2 linked regions of the Macaca fascicularis genome follow. The protein of the gene in region 1 interacts with the protein of each later gene in a pairwise test. Links are inferred from orthologs where the notes say so. Each region holds a gene or a part of one and is shown on either strand. Other genes may lie near its edges.

What was found.
Region 2: the proteins of NEIL2 (region 1) and MEOX1 interact in binary tests that used the Homo sapiens proteins (3 or more experiments, as listed by UniProt). The two-hybrid records come from large-scale screens. The link is inferred for Macaca fascicularis from reciprocal best matches to the Homo sapiens genes NEIL2 and MEOX1.

The regions. Positions count from the first base shown.
Region 1 is NC_088382.1:9,123,209-9,139,692, forward strand, and holds the end of NEIL2 (endonuclease 8-like 2), read right to left. Parts: intron 10,415-16,484; coding exon 10,062-10,414; intron 7,047-10,061; coding exon 6,850-7,046; intron 4,308-6,849; coding exon 3,997-4,307; 3' UTR 2,929-3,996; downstream 1-2,928. UniProt on the Homo sapiens protein: Involved in base excision repair of DNA damaged by oxidation or by mutagenic agents. Has DNA glycosylase activity towards 5-hydroxyuracil and other oxidized derivatives of cytosine with a preference for mismatched double-stranded DNA (DNA bubbles).
Region 2 is NC_088390.1:64,666,972-64,682,540, reverse strand, and holds the end of MEOX1 (homeobox protein MOX-1), read left to right. Parts: intron 1-5,931; coding exon 5,932-6,104; intron 6,105-7,567; coding exon 7,568-7,690; coding exon of another isoform or gene 7,691-7,713; 3' UTR 7,714-9,203; downstream 9,204-15,569. UniProt on the Homo sapiens protein: Mesodermal transcription factor that plays a key role in somitogenesis and is specifically required for sclerotome development. Required for maintenance of the sclerotome polarity and formation of the cranio-cervical joints.

The sequences.
Region 1 (16,484 bases):
CAGAGCTCTTGAAGTTTCACCTGTCTTTTGCTTCTTTATGGATTTTTCTGGAGCAACTTGCTTTTTCCTCTTTAACTTTTTGTCAACCTCACTGTCAGAATCACTGCCGGAAGAGCTTGAAGAAACAAGTTCCTTTGATTGAGGCATCGCTTCACTCAGCTCTAGCAGTCAAACACCCTCCTTCTTGTTCGCTCACGATTCCTCCCTGCCCTTCATTTTCTTTTTTTTTCCTTTTTAAAATTTATTTATTACTATTATTATTATACTTTAAGTTCTAAGGTACATGTGCACAACATCCCTGCCCTTCATTTTCATCCCCTCCAAGGCCAAACTTCCTGCACGGGAGACCACCCTCACATTCCACGTCCTCCCTTCCCACTGCTGGCACTCTGCACACAGTGCTCTCCTGAAGGTCACCATGACCTCGAATCTGATCACCTCCCAAGCCCAAGGGGCCACTGCTCCATCGTTCCGCCTTCATCTCTGCATGATTGATGATGCCGACTGCCCGCTTCTCCTTGGACGTTCCTTTCTCCATTTACCTTTGACCCATCTCACTGATTGCTTTCTCCTTCCTCTCTTGCTCCTTAAACTTGCAAGACTTTCTCTAGGATTCCCTGCACCTTTCCTCATACTCTGTGACACACTGTGAGCCCCTCTAGCTCATCACGACTCCTACTAGGAAAGCTGCTCCATCGGTGCCTCTAAGACCAGCCTATGCTTGTGGGGGGCCAGGCCTGCTCCCCAATTAGGTTGTCTCCATCTCCACAGCACAGGTGGTCACAGGCTCGAGCTCAACACGCCTCAGGGGCTGATGCACGGTGCCCGCTCACCCGCTCTGCCTTTCCCCATCTGCCAGGCGATGGCCTCTGCCAGCGCTCAGCTCAGTGCTGGCTGAGCCCCTCCAGTGTTCCCTTCTCGCCCTGGTGCCCACACTGTTGGCCAGGTGACACCAACAGAGCCACTGCCGCCATGGCCCGCGCCTCTCACCCTCTCCACTCCCACAGCTACAGCCGCCCCATGGCTTGTCAACAACTTCCTTCTCGGCACCACAACAGCCTTTTCCTTTCTACCAATCCCAGCTGGAGCAGACCACACGCAGGCCGTGGCGTCCAGTCCCCGCCATGTCTGGGGAGCCCCTGGACCCACTGTCCTGTAGACACCAACTCACAGGAAATGGTCTCAGCCTCATTTGCCACAGCTCATGCCTGGAGTCCTAGTCTTGTCCTATCCATATGGGTTAGAAAGGTGCATTTCAGCCCACACACACACACACACACACACACGCGCGTTTTTTTTTTTTTTTTTTTTTTTTAGATAAGAGTCCCACTCTGTTGCCAGGCTAGAGTGCAGTGGCATGATCTCGGCTCACTGCAACCCCTGCCTCCCCGGTTAAAATGATTCCCTTGCCTCAGCCTCCCAAGTAGCTGGGATTACAGGTGCCCACCACCATACCAGGCTGATTTTTGTATTTTTAGTAGACACAGGGTTTCACCATGTTGGCCAGGCTGGTCTTGAACTCCTGATCTCAGGTGATCCACCTGCCTTGCCTCCCAAAGTGCTGGGATTACAGGCATGAGATACCATGCCCGGCCCACATTCTTTAATGTTACATGTTTTATATATGTGCATATATATACACGAATGCATGAGTATGCTCTTCACTCTTCTAAATACAAATAAATCCATTATTCAATATTTTCCCGTCGTCTATTCTGGAATTGAGGTTTCATTCATTTTTTCTTAAATCCAGGGCTTCATGAAGGGAAAGTGAAGTTTTTATAAGCTATTGTATGTACCTTTTTTTAAGGAGTGGGAGGAGATGGCCTTTGAGAAGTTGAGGATTTTCTCCCAAATTCCTTTGTAGCCTGCAACAGACTGAATTCTGTTCCCTTAAAATTCACATATAAAGCTCTAATTCCCAGTGTGACCTCGTTGAGGACCGAGTCAGCCAGCCCTTGATCTTGGGCTTCCCAGGCTCCAGAACTATGAGAAATAACAGTCTGCTGTTTCAGTCACCCACCTATGGCACACTACAGCAGCCGGAGCTGACTCAGGGGTGGCTCTGGCCCTTGGTAATTGTGTGAGCTTAGGCGAGGCCCTCAGCCTCTCTAGACTCTTTTGTTTTCTCATCTATAACATAAGGACAAGGGTGAGTACCTGTCTTCATGAGTTGTTTTGTAGATCATGTGCAAGAAGTAAGCGAAGTGGTGAGGACTGGGTGAGGGAGAGAGAGCCCTCAACACAGGGAGAGCACCTGGTTGCAGGGGGAGCCTTCAGTACAAGAGATTCAGTCTGCCATCAAGTGGCTCTCCGCACTGTTGACCGTTCTCAATCATTGAAGACAGAGGAGGTGGGGCACGGTGACTCATGCCTGTTATCCCAGCACTTTGGGAGGCCGAAGCAAGCAGATCACTTGAGGCCTGCAGTTCAAGACCAGCTGGGGCAACATGGTGAGTCTCCGTCTATACAAAAATACAAAAATTAGCCGGGCATAGTGGTGCACACCTGTAGTCCCAGCTACTGGGGAGGCTGAGGTGGAAGGATCACCTGAGCCCGGGAGTGAGCCATGGTCACACCACTGTATTTCAGCCTGGGCAACAGAGTGAGACCCTGTCTCAAAAAAAAAAAAAAAAAAAAAAAAGAAAGAAAAAGAAAAAAAAGAACGTGCGTGTGTGAGAATAAAGGAAAGCCAGAATCATCAGCCGGTGTTTTCTGTTTCACTCTCACAAATCTCTGTGCAGACACCACGGTGACAGAGCTTTAGTCCATCTCTGCTCGCCTGGGGCAGAAGAGCAGGTGTGCCCTCACCTCCTGTCACTGCTCCTTTTATGTAGATTCCTCAGCGAATCCAGTAAGCCCTGCAGGCCACCTCCATGAATAGTTCTGTTATTTAAAGACCTTTACTACCAAAGAAAGATGACAACAGCCAAGTAACAGAGAGCTTTATTTTCATGTTGCTGCTCTAGCTTCATTCACCTGTTGTCAACAACCGGAGGGAGTTCTCCACAGCCCTTGATTCCTGAACTGTTCAACGTGTCAACAGTCACAAACACACTGACTTAAGGAGAAACAAGCAGCTCTTCTCTACGGACCACTGGGCACCCCAGGAAGGCGCAGCTCCCTGCTCCACCCCCGCCTCTTGGTGTCTGTGTCCAGCAGGAAGGACCCGGCAGGAGGCTGAATCCAAGCACTGCTCTCAGGTCACTCTATCCTCATCCCTGGATCCTCCAGGGGAAGAGAAAAAAAAAACAAAAAAAACAAAGAACCACCTGTTTTCCTGCTTTCCAAAATGGAGGGCCTTAACATCAACCAAAGTTACAAAACAAAAGCAAAACACAGGAGCTGGCTAGGAGCGGTGGCTTACACCTGTGGTCCCAACATTTCGGGAGGCCAAAGTGGGAGGACTGCCTGAGTTGCAGGAGTTCAAAACCAATATGGCAAGACCCCATCTCTATAAAAAGTAAACAAAAATCAGCCAGGCATCACAGCACATGCCCGTAGTCCCATCTGCTCTGGAGGCTGAGGTGAAGACTGCTTGAGCCTAGGAGGGCAAGGCTGCGGTGAGCCAAGCTCATGCCACTGCACCCTAGCCTGGGAGACAGAGCAAGACCCTGTCTCAAAACAAAAACAAAAACAAAACCCCACATCACCTGCAAAGCCGTGCTGGGAGCTCAGCCATTTCCCACAGGCTTGCTTTTGCCTTGCCCCAGTGCCTTCTGGGAGGTTCTCCCCTTCCCCATCATCACGATTTCTCTCATCTTTCACTATGATGCAATTCAATAGGATGAATTCACTGAACTAGAAAAGGATAAAAAGAATCTAATCCTATGAAAACTCTGCTTTCAACATAACTCCAGGGAGGTGATTATTATAATCCTGGCACCCCGACATACACTACCCTCTGCACCCCATCCCTGCCCACATCCTCCTTTCTGGACACTTAGACGTCAGGTTCCCCAAGGGCCAGGTTCCAGGAAGAGCACCACGAGTTCCTTAGGAGAACTGGCGCTGCTCCGGCTCCTCTGACAACTGGGGCTGGCACTGTGGGCACCACCAGGTGACCCTCTGGAACCCACCTGGGGGCCCAAACGCCTCCTTCATGACCTGGTGGCCAGCAGGGCACTGTTCTTTCTGGTAGACCTGCGTGTGCTGCGGTCTGCCCTGGAACTTGCCCTGCAGCCAGGCTGTACTGAACTCCACCACGTGATCCACCAGGGCCTCCCGACGCGGGGCACTCAGGGCTGAACCAAGAGAAAGGGGATGGATCCCAGCTCTGTACAAGACTTCATTCTTAATGATGTTCCCTGAAATAAAGCAGGGGAGGGTAAGCGAAGGAGAAAGGACACATGGCACGATGAAACCACCCACAAAGTTAGCACGGCAGAAGTCAGCTCTTCCACGTCCTGTGGGACCCTGGGCAGGTCCGCGATCTCTGACTCCGCTTCTCTGTCTGTAAATTGGAGTTGACAACTCCTACCTTTAAGGTTGCTGTGAAGATGAAATGAAACTCATGCATGGCCCGTCATGGCAAATAGGCTATCAAAAAGGGGTCGGGCATCTGACTGCCTGCACTTGAATCCCAGCTCAAGCAGATCCTACCCACGTGACCCTGGCAAGCTCCTCAGTCTCAATTAGCTGCAGTTTCCTTATCTGTAAGGCAGGGATGGCTCACCTGGTTTTTGTGAGCAGTAAATGAGAATTCACTAAAAAACGCTGAGCACAGTGGCTGGTATGTAGAGTACTCAATAAATATTAACTGTTGTTATTATTTAAAATGTCGGCCTGGTGCCGTAGCTCATGTCTGTAATCCCAGCACTTTGAGAGGCCGAGGCGGGTGAATCACTTGAGGCCAGGAGTTCAAGACCAGCCTCGACAACATCGTGAACCCCATCTCTACCAAAAATACAAAAATTAGCCAGGCATGGTAGCACCTGCCTGTAATCCCAGCTACTCAGGTGGCTGAGGTATGAGAATCGCTTGAACTGGGAGGCAGAGGTTGCAGTAATCTGAGATTGTGCCACCGCACTCCAGCCTGGGCAACAGGGCGAGACTATCTCAAAAAAAAATTTTTTTTTAATTAAAAACAAAATGTCAAGCATAGCTAGGCACAGTGGTTCATGCCTGTTATCCCAGCACTTCGGGAGGCAGAGGCAGGAGGATCGCTTGAGCCCACAAGTTGAAGACCAGCTGGGCAACATAGTGAGAGCCTGTCTCTACAAAAATTTTAAAAGTTAGTGAGACGTGGTGTCATGCACCTGTAGTCCCAGCTACTCAGGAGGCTGAGGTGGGAGGATCGCTTGAGCCACAGAAGTTGAGGCTGCAGTGGGTTGTGTCTATGCCACTGCACTCCGGCCTGGGCGACAGAGAGAGACCCTGTGTCAAAAAATAAAATAAAATGAAATACCAAGCATAATGCTCGTTATGTAGAAAGTGTTTGGGGAGGTGTTATCTTATGATTTTTCTACTCCTGCTTCATTCTCTGTGAAGCCAGCCTCGATCCCTCCTTCCAGAATCAGTAACTCTCTTTGGAATGTTCCAACCATACTCTTTCAGCTCCACCAGGCATTCATAGCAATCTTTCCTAACTCGCAGTGGACTGAGTCTGTGCTTGCTGGGACATTAAACAATGATCTCCTTAAGGAGAGATGGTGAGCGTGACAGAGGTCAAGGGAGTGTCTGTGTGTTTGGAGTGAGCAGGTGAAGGAAATTCTTGCTTTTTCCAAGAGCCTCATAGTCACACTCCTCATTACACACATCGATCTCTCCAGAATTCGTTGACAGAATACCTGGATTCACATCTCAGCTGCACCGTGTACTAGAGATGCGTTCTCTGCTTCAGTTTCCTCATCTGAAGGAAGGGAAACCCACTATGACCATCCTATGGATCAGCACTAAGGACAAAAACATGTGCCTGGCACATCAGAGCTGCTTGGAAAACACTGGCCATTATTAATTACTACTGTTACTTTATTAGCTCTTGCCACATATACCCAAAAAGCCACTTCCGATGGCTCTTTGCTCCTGAGGGCACAGGGACTCCCATGGTCCTAACATGAAAACGCAAGGCTAGTGCCTGGTGCACCACCGGGCCTTCTCCGACCCTCGTGAGGGGAGGTGAGCAGGCAGCAAAGCCACATGTTGGATATGGAGGTGACTCTGTCACCACCAACTTGCCTGATTGCTTCAGCAGCCAATTTTGGGCACAATTATTCCCCTGCTGTGGGTAGTAAGAATGGCACGCTCTCATAGTCCAGCTAATTAGCTGTTACATGTATTTTTGAAATTGTTCCTCTCTTCTCCCTATTCTGAAATGCTCACGGTTTCACTGCTCATGCCACTGCAATAGAGAGAGGGAAACTCTTCTTCACTCGTGTCTTGTAAGAACCCAGTGTAGACTGAGTCATCTGTGCATCCACCCAAGAGCAGCATCCCTTAGAACGTGCACTCACTCCTCTGGTAGTAGCCTGCACGACTTCAGTCCCTACAGATACGGGTCAGGCACCTCCTGTGTGCCAGGCACTGCACTGTGCTGTGGAGGGTACAGAGGTGCCCGAGACATGACCCTGCCCTTTAGGAGGCGATGTTCCAGCGCTGCTGGCAGAAGGCTCACAACTGATAACACAGTTAGGGTGTGGATTCTGAAGCCCAGAGACAAGCTAAAAACTGCCTGATCTAATGCCCTCAGTCTAAAAACAAGGGAAGTAAAACAAAGGAGATTAAGCAAGTGGCACCTCAAGACCAACAGCACTGGCACAACTAGGGTGGGCCTCAGGTCTTGTGACTCCCACAGGAGCGACTTTTCCATGAAGCAAGTCTGTGGACTCACCCCTTTCCCATGAGTCATACCTAGCCCGGAGAAGTATCTCTGGTCCAGCAGTGTAATGCAGACAGGCTGCGCCTGGCCTAGAGCTTCTAAGGCTTGTCCTCGATGGAACTTCTCAGACAGGATGTCACAGGCGGGTGTGACCACGGGGGAAGAGCTCCAAGACATCTGACAATTATAAAATGCCAGGAAGCCACCACCACTAAAGTACAGGACCAACCTGGGAAGAAAGAACAGGTCATATGTACACATCGCTGCCACAACATAGTCAGAGCACACTCTGTGGTCGGATCATACACACATCCCCACATCCCCACATCGTTACCGTGATATAGTCACAGCACACTCTATGGTTGAATCATACACACATACACACATCCCCACACTGTTACCACGATATAGTCAGAGCACACTCTGTGGCTGGATCATACACACATCCCCACATCGTTACCACAATGTAGTCAGAGCACACTCTGTGGTCGGATCATACACACATACACACATCCCCACATCGTTACCATGATATAGTCAGAGCACACTCTGTGGTCGGATCATACACACATCCCCACATCCCCACATCGTTACCATGATGTTGAGGTTGATATAGTCAGAGCACACTCTATGGTTGGATCATACACACATACACACATCCCTGACTTACAATGGTTCACTTTTAATTTTTGATTTTATAATGGTACAAAATCAATGCACACTCAGTAAAAGCCATACTTTGAGTACCTATAAAACCTTTCTTTTCAGTGCAGTATTCAATAAATTACATGAGATATTCAACATTTTATAAAACAAGCTTTGTGTTAGATGATTTTGCCCAACTGTAGGCTAATGTAATTGTTCTGAGCACATATAAGGTAGGTTAGGCTAAGCCAGGATGTTTGGTAGGCTAGGCATATTAGACGCATTTTTGACTTATAATTTTTTTTTTGAGATGGAGTTTCATTCTCATCACCAGGCTGGAGTGCAGTGGCACTATCTTGGCTCACTGCAATCTCTGCCTCCTAGGTTCAGGCGATTCTCCTGCCTCAGCCTCCCGAGTAGCTGGGATTACAGGTGTATACAACCACACCTGGCTAATTTTTTGTACTTTTAGTAGAGATGGGGTTTCATCATGTTGGCCAGGCTGGTCTCAAACTCCTGACCTCCGGTGATCCACCTACCTCGGCCTCTAAAGTGCTGGGATTACAGGTGTGAGCCACCACACTTGACCTAATATTTTCAATATTCCATATATCCTTTCCATATAGAAAGGATATATAAAGCTAATTTTATTTATTTATTTATTTGGAGACAGGGTCTCGCTCTGTTGCCCAGGCTGGAGTGTAGTGGCACAATCACAGCCCACTGCAGTCTCAACCTCCCTGGCTCAAACTACCCTCCCACTTCAGCCTCCCAAGTAGCTGGGACTACAGGTATGTACCACCATACCTGGTTAATTTTATTTTTATTTTTTGTAGAAACAGGGTCTTCACTATGTTGCCCAGGCTGGTCTCTTACTCCTGGGCACAAGTGATCCTCCTGTCTCAGCCTCCCAAAGTGCTGGGATTACAGACAGGAGTCACTATGCCTGGCAAGCTAATATTATTTATTTCAAAGACCAACAAAGTAGATAAAACTCAGGCAAGCCTATTAAAGAAAAAAGAGACAAAGCAAAATAAATATAAAACATGTAAATGAGAAAAGAGACATAACCAGGTAAACAGAGATTTAAAAATAATGGCATGATACACATTCACTCTATGGCAACATATCTGAAAACCTAGGAGTGAGCCTGCTTCGTGGAGAGCATTTCAATGCCTCCAGCTGGTGACTAATCCAGGACTCAGCAAAGGGCAGGCTCCTGATGATGAGAGGTTTGCTGGAGGTTCTAAGAAAACTTTCCTCATCTGAACTTCTAAAAATGATCTTCTCATCTTCTGGATTTTTCAGTGTAAATAAAATCCTGGAGCTGCAGTAGCCTTTTGCTGCTCGTCTAAGGACAAAACCAATGTGTGGAAAGTGCAAAGCCAGGAGAATCACATGAAGTCAGAACCTCAGAACTGCAACCCCAAAGCCTACCCTCCTTCTGAACTTCCAGTCATGTGAGCCCAAAATCTCTGGACCACAGAAGCCCAAAGCATCCTATGGTACCTACATCATGCCACAAAAAAAGACTACAGTTCTAAACATTTTTACAAGTTATAAAACTTCAGAAAATAGAAGTCATGTGACTTTCTCTGGGGGTAGAAGGGACCTTTTTTTTAGTAAAAGGGGAAGCCTATGAGCAACCAAGAAAAATACCCACCATTGACGACATACAAATTTCAAATCCCAAATGCCAACAGGCATCATAAGCTCAAAGGACAGAGGACAGACTTCAAACAATGCTGGCAACACATGTCACAAAAACAAACAGACTTTCGGTCCAAAGGCTTCGATAAATTGATAAGAAGTACACAAACAACCTAACATTCATGCGATTTCAGCTCACTAGCACTTTCCTAAGGCCATCAAATGTACAGCCCTAAGCATGTGCATTCCCTCTGAGCAGCAATTACTCCTCTGGAAATTGACACTGAGCATATGATCCTAAACCTAGAGTTTTATGCACAAAATGTTGATCTCAACATTCATAGATTAAAAACTGGGGCCAAGCATGGTGGCTCACGCCTGCAATCCCAGCATTTTGGGAGGCGGAGGCAGGCGGATCACTTGAGGCCAGGAGTTCCAGACCAGCCAGCCTGTCCAACATCATGCCACTGCACTCCAGCCTGGGCCAACAGAACAAGACTCCGTCTCAAAACAAACTAAGAAAACTCATCAAGCTGAACACTTAAGATCGGCATTCTATTGTATGTTAATTATATCTCAATAAAACATAAACACACAAACAGTATACTTAAAACTGGGAAAATCTTGTCCCTAAACTCAAAGCACACAAGTCAGGAGTCAGGCAGTAAAATGTTCTTCAGGGACAGTCCACTCTCAAGTGCCACATTTTTTGGGAAAATTCTCCCCATCTCCCAGCCACCTCTGGGTGCACAACCCTCTCCTGCATGCAGACCACGGTCTACTTCCTGTCACTGGTAGATACAGAGGTGGCCTCACTCCCCAAGACAGCAGGGCCGTGGGGGGCAGCCTGGACGTCCTCAGTGTGACCCCACTGCTTAAGTCCCAAACCCCATCAAGCAGGGCCCTATGACTATCAGAGCCCCTGAGAATCAGATGGCCACACCATTACCTCGGGGAAGGGTCCCTCCAGTCCCCCCTCTTGTTGGCTTTCTTGGCTCTGGAGAACTCGTTCACCCAAACGCTGCCAAACAAACCAAAGCTGACACGCAGCCACCTCCCAGCATCTCCTGCAGGGGCGTCTCCCTCCAAACACTCAGATTCATCCTCTCCCTGGGGGTTGAGCTCTGCAGACTGTGAGGATCCATCAGGCGTCTTTTGCCCACTGGGCTCCCCGGCCTGCTTTGGGTCCGCAGCCCCTTCCTTCTGCGCTTCTTTTTGTGGAGGCTCTGGCGGTGGGCTGCTGCCAGGGGCCTCCATTTCTTCATCTGGATCAAATCTAAGGAATAATTTCTTTCCATGGACCTAGAAAAAATGAACAGAGATCTAAGCCTTACAGACCCAGAGGGGAACGGGCGAATGCAGATATTTATCCTATTGCAAAGGTCTTCCTTCTCGCCCCTCGCGGGGAGCCTTCCCAAATGGAGTCTTGGGGTTCTGCCTTTTGCTCTTTTGCTCCAGTGGTGTGAGCAGTTCGCATGTGGTTTTCAAAGTGACTGGGAGCAAGTAGACTTGGTTGGCAGGAAACTGACCCATGCTAGATGGCAGGACCACCCTGGACAACCTGAGGGGAATCGCTCCCAATTTTTCCATGCAGTAGCTAAGAAATGAACATAAGTTGTCATTCCTTCATTCCATTCATAATACATTTTCTATGCCAGAAATAAGTAGTGCATGGGAATGCACACACAGAGCAGCTAAAGACAGCACACTATAAAACTGGGTACCCCACGCTACCCCCTCCACCAGTGCATTGGACTTAATAAGAAAACTGTAATCAATAAAAATTAGATAGTGAAACAAAAATTGACCAATGAATCAAATCACCACTGTAAAATGTACAAGGCAAAGGACCCACCTTACCTCACTGAAAAGGATTTCAGTAGAAGAAAATAAATACAGAAAATGTGTGTTAAAGGATGTTCTGGCTGCTTTGAGTTTATTTTCTTTTTTTTTTTTTCCAGATGGAATCTCGCCTAGACTGGAGTGCAGTGGCACCATCTTGGCTCACTGTAGCCCCCATCTCCTGGGTTCAAGCGATTCTCTTGCCTCAGCTGCCCAAGTAGCTGGGACTATAGGTGAACACCACCACACCCAGCTAATTTTTATTTATTTAGTAGAGACGGGGTCTCACCGCATTAGTAAGGTTGGTCTCGAACTCCTGACCTCAAGTGATCTGCCTGTCTTGGCCTCCCAAAGTGTTGGGATTCCAGGCATGAGCCACCACACCCAGCCTTTGCTTTGAGTTTATTTTCATGTTACACCTCCTGATATGCAGTATGTATGTCTAGATTCCAGGATGTGTCGGTTCTACACAGCCTGAAATTCGGGCTGTCTTTCAAAGAGTATAAGCCAAAGCATCTGGCATTAATACCGGAAACGCCTGTGTCACTTTTTTGACCGCTACAGGTCTGTGCTTAAAGATCACTGTTCTGGGCCGGGCGCGGTGGCTCAAGCCTGTAATCCCAGCACTTTGGGAGGCCGAGACGGGCGGATCACGAGGTCAGGAGATCGAGACCATCCTGGCTGACACAGTGAAACCCCGTCTCTACTAAAAAATACAAAAAAACTAGCCGGGCAAGGTGGCGGGCGCCTGTAGTCCCAGCTACTCGGGAGGCTGAGGCAGGAGAATGGCGTGAACCCGGGAGGCGGAGCTTGCAGTGAGCCAAGATCACGCCACTGCACTCCAGCCTGGGCGGCAGAGCGAGACTCTGTCTCAAAAAAAAAAAAAAAAAAAAAAAAGATCACTGTTCTGATACGATCTTTACTTGTTAATTAGCATACAAATTAATCTTGAAATCCTCTACACAAAAGAGCATTACCTTTCGAAATAATCCCAGAATAGCTTATCTGTAAATCTGAGCACAGATTGTTATTTGCTACATATTAGAAATGGTTTAACTGACCTACATAAAAAAAAAATTGAGCAAGGATTTAAGTGAGCATAATAGAATCTGCTGCAGAAAATATTTCTTGGCATAAATTCACCAATGTTGATATAATTCTGATGAAAATAACTGTCAAATGCCCATGATGATCAAAACATTTACTAGGTCAATAATATCTAGGTCAAGATGTCCTCATACCCTCTCCAACTATGGCAATTTCTACTGTCCCTCTTTTAGGTTCCTGTGACATTGCAGCCACTTCAGTTCGCTAATCATTAATTAAGCTTATTCAATGTGCCTGGCAGTGTGCTAGGCTCCAAGGGCAAACAGATGAGTAAGGCTCTGCAATGGTTTGAATGTGTTCCCCAAAAAGTATGTGTCAGAAACTTCATCCCCAATGGAACAGTGGTAAGAGATGGCCCCTTTGAAATTAGGCCATAGGGCTCTGAGCTCCCGAATGGAATAATGCCAATTGCAAATGACACGGCAAGATGCCAATGCCATGCCCTTGGACTTTGCAGATTCCAGAACTGTGAGCTCTATAGACTTCTATTGTTTATAAATTACCCAGTCTCAAGTATTCTGTAATAGCAGCAAAAATAGATTACAACAATCTCCAATGTTCCCTTATCTGTAACATGGGTGAACTTTGAGGACTTTATACCAAGTGAAATAAGCCAGTCAAAAAAACTCCAAATACTGTATAACTGTATAATTCCACTGATATGAGGTAGCTGGGGGAGTACAATTCATAGAGACAGAAAGTAGAAAGGCGATTGCCAGGAGCTGCAGGAAGGGAGGAAAGGGAGAGTTAGTGTTCAACAGGTATGGCGTTTCAGCTTGGGGAGATACAAAAGTTCAGGCAAACTGTTACACAACGTGAATATACTTAACATTACTGAACTATATACTTTAAAATGGTTAAGACAGTAAATTTTGTTATGTGTTTTTCATCACAATTTTAAAAAAAATTTAAAAGGCGGGCGGGCGCGGTGGCTCACGCCTGTAATCTCAGCACTTTGGGAGGCCAAGGCTGGCGGATCACGAGGTCAGTAGATCGAGACCATGGTGAAAGCCCGTCTCTACTAAAAATACAAAAAAATTAGCCGGGCGCTGTGACGGGCGCCTGTAGTCCCAGCTATTCGGGAGGCTGAGGCAGGAGAATGGTGTGAATCCGGGAGGTGGAGCTTGCAGTGAGCCGAGATTGCACCACTGCACTCCAGCCTGGGCGACAGAGCGAGACTCCATCTCAAAAAAAAAAAAAAAAAAAAAAAAAATTTAAAAGGCGGTGGGGGTGGGCGGGGGGACAAGTATGAAAACAGATACTACAAGAGCATGGAGAAAAGTGTGGGTAGGCCAGGCACAGTGGCTCATGCCTGTAATCCCTGCACTCTGGAGGCCAAGATAAGAGGATTGCCTGAGCCCAGGAGTTCGAGACCAGCCTGGGTAACAAAGTGAAACCCCCATCTGTACAAAAAAAAAGAAAAGAAAAGTGTGGGTAGAAGCAGAGGTAGCACACAGAAGAAGAGTCTACAGCATGAGGGGAAGCTGGCAGTACCTGGGCTGGGCTTCACAAGAAGAGTGGAAGGCAGAGGAGACAGGGAGTCCCCAGCTGAGGGGACACACCTGAACGCAGAGGCGGAAACCCCATACTGGGAGGGGGAGCTCCTGGTCAGACACAGCAGCTAGGGCATGCGCTGTTAGCACTGCTCCCAACAAACCCGCTATAGGAACCAAAGAGCTCTAAACCCTCGGAGGTTTAGAGGGTTTAAATCAAGAGGAGGAGCAGACAGGAGATACAAATTCCCTCCAGAAGATGAGGAACAGGCACAGGAAGGGTAACTGACAAGGCAGAGCAGAGACCCCTGCTGTAGCAGAGGGGGACCCCAAGGAAGAGGCAACCCAGGGAACCTACCCACCCTGAACCCAGGTGAGCTGGAGATAGGCCCCAGGTACTATGGCAAGAGGTTAAAAATGGAAGGATTAGTCCTCATACACTGCTGGAGGGATGATAAAATGGTGCAGCTGCTTTGGAAAACACTACAGAAGACACTAAAAAAGTTAAACGTACTATATGGTCCAGCAATTTCACTCCTAGGAATAGTCTCAAGAGAAATGAAAACATATGTCTACACCAATGCTTGCACGTGAATGCCCACCGCAGCATTATCCATAGAAGTCAAAGAGTCGAAACAATCCGAATGTCCATCAACTGATGACCGGACATCACTGACTATAAAATGTATGATATGGTTTGGCTGTGTCCCTACCCAAATCTCATCTTGAATTTTAGCTCCTATAATTCCCATGTGTTGTTGGGGGGACCTGATGGGAGGTAACTGAATCATGGGGGTGGGTTTTTTCCCATGCTGTTCCCATGATAGTAAATCTTACAAGATCTGATGGTTTTATAAAGGGCAGTTCTCCTGCACATGCTCTCTCTTGCCTGCTGCCATGTAAGACATGCCTTTGCTTCTCCTTTGCCTTCCACCATGATTGTGAGGACTCCCCAGACATGTGGAACTGTGAGTCCATTAAAACTCTTCCCTTTATAAATTACCCAGTCTTGGTTATGTCTTTATCAGCAGCATGAGAACAGACTAATACTGTAAACTGGTATCCGGAGTGGGGCACTGCTGTAAAGACACCCCAAAATGTGGAAGCAACTTTGGAACTGGTTAACAGGCAGAGGTTGGAACAGTCTGGAGGGCTCAGAAGACAGGAAAATGTGGGAAAGTTTGGAACTTCCTAGAGACCTGTTGAATGGTTTTGATCAAAATGCTGACAGTGATATGGACAATAAGGCACAGGCTGAGGTGGTTTCAGACGGAGATGAGAAACTTGTTGGGAACTAGAGTAAAGGTGACTCTTGCTGTGCTAAGAGACTGGTGGCATTTTGCCCCTGCCCTAGAGATCTATGGAACTTTGAACTTGAGAGACATGATTATGGTATCTGGTGAAAGAAATTTCTTTTTTTTTTTTTTTTTTTTGAGACAGAGTCTTACCCTGTCGCCCAGGCTGGAGTGCAGTGGCATGATCTGGGCTCACTGCATCCTCTGCCTCCCAGATTCAAGTGATTCTCCTGCCTCAGCCTCCTGAGTAGCTGGGACTACAGGTGCCTGCCACCATGCCTGGCTAATTTTTGTATTTTTAGTAGAGACAGGGTTTCACCAGATTGGCCAGGCTGGTCTCAAACTCCTGACCTTGTGATCTGCCTGCCTCGGCCTCCCAAAGTGCTGGGATTATAGGCATGAGCCACCACGCCCAGCTGGTGAAAGAAATTTCTAAGTGGCAAAGCATTCAAGAGGAAGCAGAGCACAAAAGTTTGAAAAATTTGCAGCCTGATGATGCAGTAGAAAAGAAAAACCCGTTTTCTGGGGAGAAATTCAAGCTGGCTGCAGAAATTTGCATAAGTAACTAGAAGTCAAATGCTAATCACCAAGCCAACAAAGAAAATGTCTCCACAGCATGTCAGAGACCTTCATGGCAGCCCCTCCCATGACAGGTCCAGATGCCTAGAAGGAAAAAATGGTTTCCTGGGCCAGGTCCAGGCCTCATTGCTGTATGCAGCCTAGGGGCTTGGTGCCCTGTGTCCCAGCCCCTCCAGCCATGGCTAAAAAGGGCCAATGCACAACCCAGGCTGCTGCTTCAGAGGGTACAAGCCCCAAGCCTTGGTGGTTTACATGTGGTGTTGAGCCTGCGGGTGCTCAGAAGTTAAGAATAGAGGTTTGGAAACCTTCACCTAGATTTCTGAGGATGTTGGAAACAACAGGATGTCCAGGCAGAGGTGTGCTGCAGGGGCAGAGCCCTCATTGAGAACCTCTACTAGGGCAGTGCAGAAGGAAAACACAGGGTTAGAGCCCCAGGGCAGAGTGTTCACTGGGGCACTGCCTAGTAGAGCTGTGAGAAGAGGGCCACTGTGCTCCAGACCCCAGAATGGTGCCAATGTAAAAGGGGCCAATGTACAACTCAGGCTGCTGCTTCAGAGGGTACAAGCCCCAAGCCTTGGCGGTGTACATGTGGTGTTGAGCCTGCGGGTGCTCAGAAGTTAAGAATGGAGGTTTGGGAACCTCCACCTAGATTTCTGAGGGTGTATGGAAACGCCTGGATGTCCAGGCAGAGGTGTATTGCAGGGGTGGAACCCTCATTGAGAACGTCTGCTAGGGCAGTGCAGAAGGGAAATGCGGGGTTAGAGCCCCGGTGCAGAGTTCCCACTGGGGCACTGCCTAGTAAAGCTATGAGAAGAGGGCCACTGTCCTCCAGACCTCAGAATGGTAGATCCACTGACAGCTTGCAGCCTGCTCTGGAAAACCCACAGACCCTCAATGCCAGCCTTGAAAGCAGCCAGGATGAGGGACTGTACCCTACAAAGCCACAGAGGCAAAGCTGCCCAAGGTCGTGGGAGTCTACCTCTTACATCAGCGTGCCCTGGATGAGAGACATGGAGTCAAAGATCATTTTGGAGCTTTAAGATTTGACTGCCTTGC
Region 2 (15,569 bases), on another chromosome or scaffold:
TTCAATGACATGCCAGGCACTGCCCTAGGTGTTAACGCCTGCTATCCAGCTCATGTTACTTCTCAGCCTGATAAGCACAGCAGGTGTAGCTATTCTTGCTTTGCAAATGAGGAAATTGAAGCTCCAGGAACCTAAAGGACTTGCCCAAGGTCCAAAAGCTCTTCCTCAGTGCCTCACTCACCTACGAGTGCTAAGGCCCAGGTTCACCAACAGGTCCTCTAACACTTCTGCATATATAACTTCCCTCCACACAGCTCGAGGCAGGGCGAGAGAAACGGCCTAGCAGAGCCCTGATTGTTGAGCCACGGGAAGACTGGGGAGGGCTTTGGGACAGAGCATACAGTAAGACCTCAGATCTGACTGAAGGGAGGAACTAGGAGCTGAGACAAGAATATGTGAAGTTGGAAGAGCCTCAGACTTCATCAAGGCTAGGGGTTCCCAACAGAAGAGAGAGTAGGGAGTGTAGGGCATCAGGGCTTATGTCCTGGGAAGGAACTCTGACACCAGCTCCCTGGCAGAAATAGAATCCACTCCAATCCCATACTTCTACACATGGGGAAACTGAGGCCCACAGAGGCGAGGAAGGCTCCCTAACAAAGCTGTACTATCCTACTATCCTGGGAACAGACCATCCTGGGAAGCATGAGTTACTTTCCTTCTTTTTTTTTTTTTTTTTTTTTTGAGACGGAGTCTCACTCTATTGCCCAGGCTGGAGTGTAGTGGCACGATCTCGGTTCACTGCAAGCTCCGCCTCCCAGGTTCACGCCATTCTCCTTCCTCAGCCTCCTGAGTAGCTGGGACTACAGGCGCCCACCGCCATGCCCAACTAATTTTTTGTATTTTTAGTAGAGACGGCGTTTCACTGTGTTAGCCAGGATGGTCTCTATCTCCTGACCTTGTGATCCGCCCGCCTCGGCCTCCCAAAGTGCTGGGATTACAAGCGTGAGCCACCACACCTGGCCTAGCAAGAGTTACTTTCATGTGGCAGGTTGCACGAACTATGCCCATGAGCAGGATGACCGAACAGCTCCCAGAAACGGAATGCAAGTGCTCTTAGTGTTTCCATCTTGATGAATATGTTGCAATTTGTAATACTGTTGCAGAACAAAGAGAGCCATAACTTTCACTTCAACTTTCATAGCTTGCTTCCCATACTTCTGGTCCCTTCATCATTTCCAACAGTGGTGAACGTTGATCCCACTCTGGGAAGCTGACAAGGGACAACCGCTCTCCCAGAGCCAATATCCATCCCACCCACCATTAGTAGGTATTGCCCCCAGGTTCACACAGGGGGTTAGCTGAGACCCTCAGTTCCCGCCCTGGCTGCTGCTTCCTGTTTCCTCTGCCCCAGAGGCTAAATCAGGACAATGACAGACAGGAGAGGTGGCCAGGGATGGGGCATAGCTTGGCTGGCAGTGGTCAGCTGCCCTGCCCACACAACCAGGCCAAGACCAACTCCAAAAGGGTCCTCTCCTGCTTTTCCCTTTTCTCTCTAGGGAGGACTATGTGCAGAACTAGGGCGGGGAAAGTTGTTTTGGGGGACACCATGAGGCACCTGTACACACCTAAGCAGGCCTTGGAGAGTAGGTATGGGTAGCAAATCGGATAGTGCCCCCAGGACCTCTGGAAGTGGTGACAAGCCGAGCAGCCATGGTCCAGCTCCAGGCCCCAACCTGGGCCAGCTAGCCAGGAGACAGTGGAGAGCCTTGCTTCTAATCAGATAGATCTGGGTTCAAATCTCCCTTCTGTCACCTAAAAGCTGCCAGGCACACTGGGCAAGTTCCTGGGCCTGTCTGAGGCTGCCTCCTCTGTATAACAGGATGATTTAGCAAATACTTAGCAAGTACTTTTTCCTCTTCTCTCTAGGAGAATTATGTGCAGAACTGGTGGGGGCGGGGTGGGGGGGGGCAGTTGTGCCAGATACAGAAGCAACTATGGCTAGATGCTAGAGTGAGAAAAAGTGTTTCCCTGGGAGACAGCTATTAATCAAATTATCACACAAACCCAGGTAAGAGTACTAAAGGGGGTAAGAACAGTATTCACTCATAGGCTGCCCTGTGGTGAGGTTAAAGCTGCGGATGCCTCTGGGCACACTCAGAAGCCTTCAAGAAGCGCAGCTGTTTCTATCCTAGCCCTTCAGTGTCATCTCGTGGAACTGATAAATTGGAGAATATATTTGTCCAGCATTTTTAGATTTTTTTTTTCTTTTTTGAGAGGGAGTTTTGTTCTTGTTGCCCAGACTGGAGAGCAATGGCGCAATCTGGGCTCAATGCAACCTCCGGTTTCCAGGTTCTAGCGATTCTCCTGCCTCTGCCTCCCGAGTAGCTGGGATTACAGGCATGCACCACCACACTGGGCTAATTTTTTTTGTTTGTTTGTATTTTTAGTAGAGACGGTGTTTCTCCGTGTTGGTCAGGCTGGTCGCGAACTCCCGACCTCAGGTGATCCACCCACCTCGGCTTCCCAAAATGCTGGGATTACAGGCGTGAGCCACCGCTCGTGGCTTTTTTTTTTTTTTTTTTTTTTTTTTTTTTATGATGTATTCTCACTCTGTCACCCAGGCTGGAGTGCAGTGGTGCAATCTCGGCTCACTGCAACCTCCGCCTTCTGGGTTCAAGTGATTCTCCTGCCTCAGCCTCCAGAGTAGCTGGGATTACAGGTGCCCGTCACCACGCCCGGCTAGTTTTTGTATTTTTAGTAGAGACGGGGTTTCACCATGTTGCCCAGGCTGGTCTTGAACTCCTGACCTCAGGTCATCCGCCTGCCTTGGCCTCCTAAAGTGCTGGGATTACAGGCGTGAGCCGCCACTTTTCAACTTTAATAGCATTTTGCACACACATATTAACGCGTTCAGTCTTCCAATAACCCTAGGAGGTAGGTGAAATTGTTTTCCTCAATTTCTTAATGAGGAGACCGACACCCAGAGAAGTTAAGTGATTTCCTCAGTCTCCAGCAAGGAGATTCAGGATTCAAGCCTCTGAGCAAGTCCTCTGGGCCATCCACTCCCCGCAACCGTGGAAAGGAAGGGCTGGGAAACACTGAGCCTCGGGACAGGAGGAGATTGGGAAACCAGTCCCCGACCGCGCCCGTCGTCTAAGCCCAGGTTTCCTGCCTCTCTCCAGGCCCGAGGGCCGGGCTGTGCTACAGGAAGCCCGTCATCCGCTTGTGAACGACCCTCCCGGGCCTGCTGCCAGGAGGGAGCGCGGGACTGGCGGCGGCCAAGGCCGGAGGGCTCCTCGGGGACCCCGGCCCGGGGCTGCGCGTCCTTCCCTCCAGCCCACGCTCCCGCTTCCGGAGGGGTCTGGACCTGCCTTCTCCGGCCTGGAGCTAGAGGCCGCCGGGCAGGCAGCCCGCGCCGGGAACTCGGCCCCCTGCCCTGCTTCCCGGGCGCGCCCCGCGGGCGGCCAACCCGGTTCGGACGCGGACCCCCGGGCCAGGGCGCCACGACACCCCTGACCCAGGCACCGGGACTATCAGGCACCGGGACTATCAGGCCCCTCCCCCGCTTTCTCGGGTTCCCGGAACGGCGGCACCCACTCCCCTTCCATGCCTCGGCGGGGGCCGGGAACGCGCAAAGCGAGGTTGGCCGGGCCAAGTGCCCAAATCACTTTACCGCGCGCGTACTGCTAGAGAGCAGCCCAGCCCGAGGCAGACGGGCGCGGAGGCGGAGGACGCGGAAACTGAAATACAAAGGGATTGAGTGGAAAGCAATAGAGGGAGGTGCTGGGAGGGGAACCAGCTAGGCTCAAAGCTCCAAAGCGGATAGCCGGGTTAATGTGGGGTTTCTGCCTCGCCACCCACTCCCAATGCGGCTGCTTAGCCGACTGCGTAGGCGGCTTCTCTGCATTACACTAGCTGGTCTGAATTCCCCAGCCCAGCCGCCCAGGTAGCTTAAACCCGGCCTCTGAAAACACCGGATCCCTCTTTCCAACACTCCTCTCCAGCAAGGCAGAGATGGGTCTTTCAGGGAGCAGGAAGTTGGGGCGCAGGTTTCGGTAAAGCACCTCACTCGGAGCCACGGTTTCCGTGTCTAAAATTACAATGGGCCGGGCGCGGTGACTTACGCCTGTAATCCCAGCATTTTGGGAGGCCGAGGTGGGCGGATCACGAGGTCAGGAGATAGACAGCATCCTGGCTAACACGGTGAAACCCCGTCTCTACTAAAAATACAAAAAAAAAAAAAAAAAAAAAAAAAAAAAAAAAAATTAGCCGGGCGTGGTGGCAAGCACTTGTAGTCCCAGCTACTCGGGAGGCTGAGGCAGGAGTATGACGTGAACCCGGGAGGAGGAGCTTGCAGTGAGCCGAGCGAGACTCCGTCTCAAAAACAAAAGAAAAAGGAGGACAATGAAGCCAACGACTTTTAAATGTTAAAGCCGCGCACGCATGGCTCCTGCAGCCATTCCCTGGCCATGTGGCATGCATCGCGAGTTAATTGTGTAGGTGTGTGGTCTTCTTCCCACCTCCTCTCCACCCACCACCTCCATTCATTAAAGTGAAGGTAGAGCTGCCTCCCACCCGTCTGCTCAAGAGATAACCATGCAACCCCTTTTATTTGTTCAGGACTTTATCGTTTGTAAGCCCTTCCTATATATATATATATATATATATATATATTTTTTTTTTTTTTTTTTTTTTTTTTTTTTTTTCCCCAAGACGGAGCCTTGCTCTGTCGCCCAGGCTGGAGTGCAATGGCGTGATCTCGGCTCACTGCAGCCTCCGCCTCCTGGGTTCAAGCGATTCTCTTGCCTCAGCCTCCCAAGAAGCTGGGATTACAGGCGCGTGCCACCATGCCCAGCTAACTTTTTGTGTTTTTAGTAGAGACGGGGTTTCACCATGTTGACCAGGCTGGTCTCGAACTCCTGACCTCGTGATCCGCCCACCTTGGCCTCCCAAAGTGCTAGGATTACAGGCGTGAGCCACCGCGCCTGGCCCCTACATATTTTTCATTTGAACAATATGTGTATGTCAAATCGCCTGAATTTGATTCTTGTCTCCCACACCCCCTGGCTGAATAAACTTGGACAATTTGCTTAACTTCTCTGTGTTCATTTTCTGGTCCATAAAGTGAGACTAATACTAGAACCACTTGGTTGGGCTATTGAGGATTAAGAGGCTAATATATGTCAGGTACAGCACCTGGCACAGAGTGTGTTCCCTGACCCTGTTGACAGTTATGACTGAGCCCCACTGAATCTAACATGCAACCTCCTTCAGAGGGGTCCAGATGGTTTTCCAGATTTGGCCCTCTGGGGCAGATTCTGATTCGGTAGGTAGGTATGGGGCAGGCCTGAGATCCTTCAGATCTGAACAGCTCCCTGGTGCTGCTGATGCTGCTGGCACCCAGGCACTCCTTTGAGTGATGAGGTCTTAGAGCGGCGGACTTAAACAGCACCAGAGGCATCTGGAGGGTTTGCAAAAATAGACTGCTGAGCGCCATCCCCAGAGTTTCTGACTCAGTAGGTCTGGAGTGAGACTAGGATTTGCATTCCTAACAATCTCTCAAGTAATGCTGATGCTGCTGATCTGAGGACCATAGTTTGAGGCTTTGTTTTAGAGCATCTCACCCCTCAAGCCTATGACCACAAGTAATGTCATACTGGGGGGTGGGCTGGGGAGTAGAGATCATTAAACAGCCAAGAGTAGCTTCTTGTGCTTTGGGAATAAAAGAAAGTTCCGGGAGGAGGGGCAGGGGACAGCCAAAAAAAAAAAAAAAAAAAAAAAAAAAAAAAAAAAAAAAAAAAAAAAAAACCTTCCCAGTTCTAATATGGGTAAGACACCAGAAGGAATAAAAAGGACAGTGTAGCTTTTTTCTCAGCATCCTGTAAAATTAAGGGAGAGTGGGAAAGACTGCCTAGTTGCTCAAGGGCAAAAGAAAGGGAATGGAATCTCCTTCAGCCCATGTCTTCCTGTTTTGGGGTCCTCTCTCCCCAGACAACCAAGAGAACAGAGGGAAGCCGGAGGGCAGCAGCAAGGCCCGCAAGGAGAGGACGGCCTTCACCAAGGAGCAGCTGCGAGAGCTGGAGGCGGAATTTGCCCATCATAACTACCTGACTCGGCTCCGCAGATACGAGATCGCGGTAAACCTGGACCTCTCTGAGCGCCAGGTGCGCCCCCAGCGGCCCCTCCTCTTATTTGCTCTCCCATCTCCCTCCCTTCCCTCCTTTCCCACCACCACTCCCTTCACCTTCTTTTTCTTCCTCCAGCCAGTCCAGTGGTTTTCAACTGTGGCCATACCTGAGAATAGCCTGGGGAGTTTTGGGTTTTTTTGTTTTTTGTTTTTTGTCTTTTGAGACGGAGTCTCGCTCTGTCACCCAGGCTGGAGTGCAGTGGTGCGTTCTCAGCTCACTGTAACCTCCACCTCCTGGCTTCAAGAAATTCTCCTGCCTTAGCCTCCTGAGTAGCTGGGACTACTGGCATGCGCCATCACGCCTGGCTAATTTTTGTCTTCTTTTTTAGTAGAGGCGGGGTTTCACAATGTTGACCAGGATGGTCTCAAACTCCTGACCTCAGGTGATCCGCCCTCCTCGGCCTCCTAAAGTGCTGGGATTACAGGCGTGAGCTACCATGCCCAACCCCTGGGGAGATTTTAATAGTGCTGATGTCTGGGCTCTACCCCTAGGGATGATTTTAATTGGCCTGGGATGGGATACAGGCCTCAGAATTTTTCAAAGGCCCCCTAGGTGATTCTCATATGCAGTTAGGTTGGGAGCTCTGGTCTGGCTATTCCCAAACTTGAGTATATGTTGGAATCCTCTAAGGCACTTGTTCAAAATATGGATTCCAGAGGTCTGGAGAGAGATTTTACCATAATGAGTGGGCCTGAGAATCTGTATTTCTAGTATGTTCTCTAGGCGATCTGGATATGCAGCTGGTTCCTGGGCACACTTTGAGAAAAACTTCCCTGGCCCTTTGTTTTGGACTTTCCCTTCAGCCACCCCACACCCCCACACCCAGGCTCTGATATGGAATAATAGTAATAATAACAGTAATATTTGATAGCAGATTTCAGTTGATAGAGCGCTCTGCTAGAGGGCTGGATTTTGAATCAGAAGACTTAGATTCAAGTCCTGCCTCTATCACTTCTTCTAGCCCTGGGACCTCTGGGTCTCTATCTGTAAAATGGGACCATAATCCTGCAGGTAATACTCAAGCTTAGATGAGAAAATGTGCTGACCAGAGCTATCTAAACCAAAAAGTTCTCTATAAATGTGCCTAAGGATAAGGCTGATGACCTCTGCTCCCAGACCCTTGGGGAATGGAGGTAGGGCGCAGGGGGACCTGGCACAGGTGGGGCAGGGCATGTGAAGAGGGTGGGGCCAATGCAGAGTGTTTTTAGAACATGTTCCCCTGTCTGGGGCTTTATCCCAAGACACAAGACAGACCTCTGGGCAGATTGGTGTGTCCTCTCTTTGGTCTTAGTTCCTGGGGCGTTTGGGGAGTAGAGAGTGGTAAGTGATGGTTTCAAGCTGGGGTCCCTGGAGTTACACCCTGGCTAGCCTGAGCATTGACATGGGAAGGAGGTCACACCAGCCCTGGAGTGCCCAGGCTCCTTTGCTTCCTCCCCTAGGTCAAAGTGTGGTTCCAGAACCGAAGGATGAAGTGGAAGCGTGTGAAGGGAGGTCAGCCCATCTCCCCCAATGGGCAGGACCCCGAGGATGGGGACTCTGCAGCCTCTCCAAGTTCAGAGTGAGATTCTGCGTGGAGGAAAAATGACTAAGGACTGAGCCCCCTACCCAACTACCCCCACCCCAATGCCACCTTTACCCTCTTCCTTCCCCAGCCGGGGCAGCCTCTCCACATCTTTCACTGACTCTTAGATATGAAACTGCCCAGCATTCCTGGGAGTCTTAGAGTTGTCCAGGAAGTTCTATCCAACCTCTTAGCAGCCTCTTCCCTAGGGCCTTTGCTCCCACACTCTCATGGAATCAGACAGAGATCCTACCAGGCCGGATGAATCTGGAAACAGCTTCAGAGACACTGCTTCTCAGGGTCTCTTGGCTGCCACCCATGCCTCCTCCTACTGCCGTTCTCCTGTGTCAGCCAGGCCTCCTTCTGGTCTGGACACCACCTGGCCTGGTGGGAGAGACGCTTTGGAACCAGCTGGCGACTCGGATAGTAAATGCTTCAAAAGGAAGGAAATGATGGAGACACACGCCCTTGCCCACCTTCCTCTATGGGCTGTACATCTGAGGCTTTGGGGCCCCTTAGTTGTCCCCAAACCCCAAGAAAAATCAGAATGTGGAGAGTCAAGGACAGCAACTCAGCTGCTGCAAGCCAGAAACCCATCCCTATCTCCAAATTTGTTGGCTAAGTGGGGACACTTATAAGCACTGACTAGAGAAGACAGAAAAATAGCCTCATGTAGGTTTCTGTGTCCCCATATAGGCCCGTCCACACAGGCTTGACTGGGTGGACAAGAATGAACCCATGACAGCACCTGCTGCTTCAAAATCAAAATCAATTTAGGGATATAGCAGGGGCTGTTGGGCTGTGCTCCAGAGAAAAGGAGCAGCTACTCCCTTTAAATCCACGATTTGTGGATTGAAAACCTCTCCAGATGCCCAGTTGCTGGGCTGAACAACTATGGGCTGGAAACAACATAGAGTCTAGAAAGTGTCCCCTACATTCTGGAGGGGAGGGGAGATAATAAGGAGGGCTCGGATGAGGGCCTGGAGATGCGGAACCCTGGCATAGAAGGTTCTCTAGCTACAGTGTCCTGTGACTGCAAAGGGGGACGAGAAAATCCCTTTTCCTCCATGGCATGGATTTAAGCTCTTGCTGTGTGTTCTACAAATGCTGTTATTGTGGGAGGAAATGCTAGGTTTTTGTGTGTGGACTGCCCAGACCTCAGCCAGGTCTTCTGGAGATGCCACTTGAGGACTGCTGGCCAAAGAGCATGAGGGACTGAAGCCCTGGCTGCCTCAGCGCTCTGTCTCCCAACACCAGCTGGTGTTGCAGAGGGAGGTCAACGTGAGTTTGGATCTCTTGTACGCAGATGTAATCATTCACATGTAACCCCACCTCTCCACCCCAAAAAGGGCAAGAGCTGTGGAAAATGATTGCCAAATGAGATGGCTGGTTAGAGCATGATTTTTTCTAAAGCATACTTCATGTATTTTCTTAAGATTACATCAAACTAATTGTGCAAGGTCAATTCACTTTGTAAGAAAACTCTTGGAGAAATAAAATCAATAAAAAGCAAAGTTCCCAGGCCTTTTTCTTTGCAGAGCGAACAACAACAGCTCTTGTGTGCAACCTTCTGATTGACCAGACAATGTCTAGAAGCAAGAGAAAACGGCAAGAAATGATCTAGACAGAGCTGTCCCCCTTTAGTTTTTCAAAAGGTAGGTACCAAATATAATTGTTGCCCCCAAATTTTTTTTTCTCCCATGCAAATGCATGGTCTTCATTTCTCATTGTAAAAGTTTAGCTTTCAGTTTCCCTAAACTATGACCTATCAAATAGTCAATGTTTTGTAAACAAAACATTGTTAATAGAGTAATCTTGACCACAAAGTAACCATTCCCAATGTTTAAATTCAAAGTTTGGAGATTTTATTTTTCAAGGTAGAAAAGTGTATATTAATAGTAGTAAAAATGACATAAGAAAAAATATCCCATATTCTCTGTCTTTTTTTTTTTTTTTTTTTTTTTTTTTTGAGACAGAGTTTCACTCTTGTTGCCCAGGCTGGGACGCAATGTCACCATCTTGGCTCACTGCAACCTCCACCTCCTGGGTTCAAGTGATTCTCCTGCCTCAGCCTCCTGAGTAGCTAGAATTACAGGCATGCGCCATCACGCCCAGCTAATTTTTGTATTTTTAGTAGAGATGGGGTTTCTCCATGCTGGCCAGTCTGGTCTCCAGCTCCTGACCTCAGGTGATCCACCTGCATCTGTGTCCCAAAGTGCTGGGATTATAGGCATGAGCCACCACACCTGGCCTCTATGTCCTTTTTTTCTTTTCTTTTCTTTTTTTGAGACAGAGTCTCACTCTGTCGCCCGGGCTGGAATGTAGTGCCATCTCGGCTCACTGTCACTGCAAGCTCTGCCTCAGCCTCCTGAGTAGCTGGGACTACAGGTGCCCGCCACCATGCCTGGCTAATTTTTTTGTATTTTTAGTAGAGACTGGGTTTCGCCATGTTAGCCAGGATGGTCTCAATCTTCTGACCTTGTGATCCACCTGCCTTGGCCTCCCAAAATGCTGAGATTACAGGCATGAGCCACTGCACCTGGCCCTATGTCTTTTTAACTAAAATACAATTTGTCTCACCAAGATATCAACAATGGACAAAACAGGACTGGCTACGGGGAGGTGAGAGAGGGAGGCAGTAGAGGAGACCTGGCCAGAATCTTGCATTGATGCAGCCTGGGCCAGGTGTGGGCAGTGCCTGGAAGTGACATCAGCAGGAGCTGGAATCAGGCAGACCTACCAAAATCAAGGTGCCAAACAGAGGTGGGTTCAGTGGCTCAGGTTCAGGTTCACAGCCAAGCAACATAGACACGCTCAGTCACCCCCATCTACCCTCCTGCTGGAAACTCAACTCCGTGGCTTCAGGGGACATCATCCTCTTCTGGCTTTCCTCATCTGTCCTAGATGTTCCTTCTCTGTCCCTCATGTAGGCCCATTTCTCGACGCTTCTGCTCTCATGGCTGGTTTTCAAGGTTTTCTCTTTCTACCACCACCTTCCCTATTTTTCAGTCTCTCCCCAGATGATCCCATCCACCTACTTTTTTTGTTTGTTTTTGTCTTTTGAAACAGTCTCGCTCTGTCGCCCAGGCTGGAGTGCAGTGACACGATCTCAGCTCACCGCAAACTCTGCCTCCTGGGTTCAAGCGATTCTCCCGCCTCAGCCTCCTGAGTAGCTGGGATCTGGCTAATTTTTGTATTTTTAGTAGAGACAGGGTTTCACCATGTTGGTCAGGTTTGTCTCAAACTCCTGACCTCAGGTGATCCTCCCGCCTCGGCCTCCCAGAGTGCTGGGATTACAGGCATGAGCCACCTCGCCTGGCCTACATTTTTTTAAATTGTTGTAAAATACACTAACATAAAATAAAAGTTATCATGTTAACCATTTTGAAGTGCACAGTTCCGTGGCATTAAGCATTTTCTCATTGTTGTGCAACCACTGCCACTATCCATCTCCAGAACGTTTTCATCTTCCCAAACTGAAACCCTGTGCCTATGGACTACTAATCCCTATCCCCTCTCCTCCATTCACCTACATTTACATAGCATTTGTGCCATATTGAGCACTGTTCTGCTTTACATGTACAAACTAAGTGAATTCTCTTAGCCATCCTAAGAGGTAGTACTACTGTAATTCCCATTTCACACATGAGGTAACCAAGGCGGAGAGAAGCTGAGTAAACTCCCGAGATTTTATGTGATTAGTGTTTGGGGTGGATTGTATTATTTGGCCCAGGTATCTTCTTCCCTCTCCACTGGGGAAATGCTTCCCTGATCATTGCCATATGATACACCTGCCGTGGTAAGGGCACACTTCCTCGCCTAATTGACATCAGCTTGTCCTTGTGGCCTGCTTTGGCCAATAGAATGTGAGCAGAAGGACATGTGTTGTATCCAAGCAGAAGCTTTACAGGTCATCACACTGCTGTGCTCCTGCTCTTTTCCCTCTGTACAAGGCTGAAATGGAGGTTCCCTGGGTTCCAGAAGGAGAAAAACATGGAACTGGCCTCCAGAAGGAGAAAAATGTAGAACAAAGGTAAAGCTGACCCCACAGCCTTCATAGATGTCAATGAGGATATAAACATTTGTTGTTGTAAGCCAATGATTTGTGGGTCATTTGTCACTGCCACACCAGCTCGTAAAAACTGACCACTCCAGTGATGAAGCTGGGTTTGGAATTGAGTCATTCTGGCCCCAGGCCACCACTTCCTATGCCTGATCTGGGTCCCTGAGCTTTTATATTCTGCTGCCTACTGCCCTTTGCCACCTAGGATGACTATAAGCATCTCAAACTCCCATATCTGAAGGGGAAATCACCATTCCTGGAATTTGGTGAGCACCACTGCCTGCATTCTGATTTCTCTACTTTAGCTGGCAACACTACAACCTACCTACCTGTTCATTCACACTGGAAACCTGGGGCACATCCTTGATACTGACCTCTGCTTTTCCGAACCAATCCACTACCTGCTCCTGCTCATTTTACTTCCCATATAGATATTTCTCCCACCCACGGCATTGTCTTCCCACCACCACTGCCTTCCTTCTGGCTGTTGACGTCTCACTTGAATTAGAGCCTCTGAGAGCCCTCCCTCCTGGTCTGAGGCTGCTCAAATCCCATCCCCTCTCAGCCTGTAGAGTGATCACAAAGAAAATTCAACCCTGTCACCCCCTGTTTAAAACCTATCCGCAGCTTCCCTCACCCACAAAATAAAGTCCAAGGGCCTTCACAGGTCTCCATGATCCAGCCCCTGACCACCTCCACAGCCGCAACCTAACACCTCCGCCACAAATCCTGGGCTCTAGCAAGACCAAGCCACCTTCCATTCCACAGCCACAGGCCATGTGATTTCTCTTCTCCATTCCTTGGCTCATTCCCTTCTGCCTGGAGTGCCCTCCCACACCTGGAGCCCCAAGGACTTATGCATTCTAGGAGCACTCTAAAGGAACGCGCAGGAAGTTTAAATATAAATATGGCCAAGTTTTTATTTTTTTATTTATTTTTTATTTTTTTTTAAGAGACTTCATTTCCCAACCTGGAGTGCAAAGGTATGATCATGGCTCACTGCAGCCTCAAACTCCTAGCCTCAAGCAATCCTCCCACCTCAGCCTCCTGAGTAGCTAGCCGGGACTACAGGTATGAAAAACCATGCCTAGCTAATTTTTAAATTGCTTTGTAGAGATGGGGGTCTCACTATGTTGCCCAGGCTGGCCTTGAACTTCTGGCCTCAAGGGATCCTCCTGCTTCACCTCCCAAAGCTCTGGGGTTACAGGCATGAGTCACTGCACCCAGCCCAAACTAATTTTCAATAGTAGATCAATGCCTAACATGAGGCAGCAACATTCACCAATTTCTAAAACCATCAGAAAAAAACCTCAGTGTGAGAATTTTCCTTTCCCCAATAAACCCAGTTAATAAGCCCACTGAGGAGAGTTTGATCATGACATTAAAAGTACATGCACACATCAATCAAGAGGTTTCTGGTTTCTTTTGAACGCTCCCTGCACTGCTCTCCCTCTTCAGCGTTGGTGTGTGATTGACCAGCGCTGGGTGAGCAGTAGCTGGGACCCGCTGTTCTTCAAGTTAGGTAAAAATCCTCTACTTTCTCCCGAGGGCAAAGCTGCATGAAGGAAGCAAGGCCACCCACTGGCAACTCCCTGATGGGAACCAGTGAGTGTGACCAGAGATGGTGGCTTGGTAGAAATCCAAACAACTGAGAATTCCCAGACGGTAACTTTTCAGTAATGGTTTTCTCCATCCTTGAGACAGCATCAGGGACGAGCGAGTGTGTGGCTGACCTGCTGAGAGAGGTGAGGAGATATGAAAAAAAGAGAGAGATGAAGCAAGCGAGTAGGGAATCCATTTCCAAATGAAAAGGCCTGGAGGGGCTCAGGCCTTCAGAAATCTGCTCACCTGCCTGGGCCAGGTCCTGAGATGGATGTGTGCATTTCTGATAGTTCTTCTATTCAAAGATGAGAATCAGTGTCAGGGAGAGATTTACTCTTTTCTGTCCAGACCTCCAAAGCACCACAATTCTCAGTAACTGGGTAAGCCCGTGGTGGGTGGCTTTCTTTCCTTCCATTGAGTGGAAATGATTGCCCTTAAGAGTTATATATTCTTTAGCCAGACAGAGGAGCCTGTGCCTACTAATCCCTCACAACCACCGGTGAGGCACTAGTCAGTCATGTCATCTCTTGGCCACCACGGCGCTGGGCCGTCGCCATGTTCCTTCTCTCACCGGCTGCCGCTTCTCAGTCCCATTTGCTGCCAACCCTGGCTACCCGAATATTTTTGAAACACTTTGAAAAATATCTCAAATCCTGCTGGGCGCAGTGGGTCACACATGTAATCCCAGAACTTTAGGAGGCTGAGGCAGGCAGATCACCTGCGGTTGGGAGTTCGACACCAGCCTGGCCAACATGGTGAAACCCCGTCTCTACTAAAAATACAAAAATTAGCTCTGTGTGGTGGCACCTATCTGTAATCCCAGCTACTTGGGAGGCTGAGGCATGAAAATCACTCAAAGCCGGGAAGCAGAGGTTTCAGTGAGCTGAGATCGTGCCTCTGCGCTCCAGCCCAGGCAACAGAGCGAGACTCCGTCTTTAAAAAAAAAAAAAAAAGCCCTTCTCAAATGCTACCTGTGGCCACGACTGTCCCTTTATTCTCTATCTTCCCACCTTGTGTGTGTTCCTTTATGGCCTCTACCACAATTTGTCATTCTTCTACTTTTTGTTTCCTTATTCATTTATGGTCTGCTTTATAGGCTGGAAGAAAGAGAAAGGGATATGTTTCTCTGACCATTTTATTCCCAGCTACCAGCATGATGCCTGGCACATCATAAATGCTCAATAGATAGTATTGGATGAGTGGACACATGGATGGAAGGATGGATGGATGGATGGATGGATGGATGGATGGATGGATGGGGGAGCCATTAAATTATTGACATCACTGACTTCTCAGTTCAAAACTGCCCATTGCTGGACACGTTGACAGTGTAGGAGAAGCTTGGTCCAGAAGCTGGTTAGGTGGCTTGATGCAGTCAGGGCTTCAGAGACCACCAGGTCTGGTAGTCACCCTGTTTCTACAGCCCCAGGGAACTCTCTGGGACCAAGGTTCTCTGCAAATCCCTCCCCCACTCTCTGAGCTCTGTCTGAAGTCTGGACAAGCCTCTCCTCTTTGACCTGTGGTTGGCAAAGAAACAGTTTCTAAAGCCTGACAACAGCGAGACTCAGAGGCGTGCCTGATAAGAGGTTTGTGAGCCACTCACACGTCTCTGAGGGTGATGCTTAATAACTTCAAGGTGACATCAGGGTTGGGACTAATATCCGATTGAACAAAAAGAGACATGACCTAACTCGTCTCTCGCCATGGGCCTGGCTGCGAGAGCTTCTCTTTCTTTATTAATTTCCTAACTGGAGTTGCTGGCTCAGGACTCCAGCCTGTCCCCAGAGCTGGGGCCCACGGCTGGGCTTCAATCCAGCGTTAGTGGGAAGGGAACAGGCTCAGCCAGGGTCTGAGAACCCCCAGGATGAACGTCCACTGAGTCTGCGCTCATCTTGGCAAGAGCCTCGTGGTCGGCTTTCTCCACCATCCAGCAGATTTACCCTGCTTTGAGAAAATCCAGTAGGGCAGATCCAAAGGCTCTAAAAAATTCCTCCTGGTACAAAAAACCTTACTGCAGCCTCCCAGCAAGCTGCAGGCTTCCCCAGTGGCTGTAAAAGATGGTTTTATTTGTGTTTTAAAACATGATTTAAAACCAGTTTTCCAGGAACACAAATCCTGTCTAAAGCACCCGGTGCACCTGGCTAGAGAGCTGCAGGCCTGTGTCTGAGCTGGCTGACTGCCTGGTGGGACCATGCTATCTTCAGGTTATTTTCCT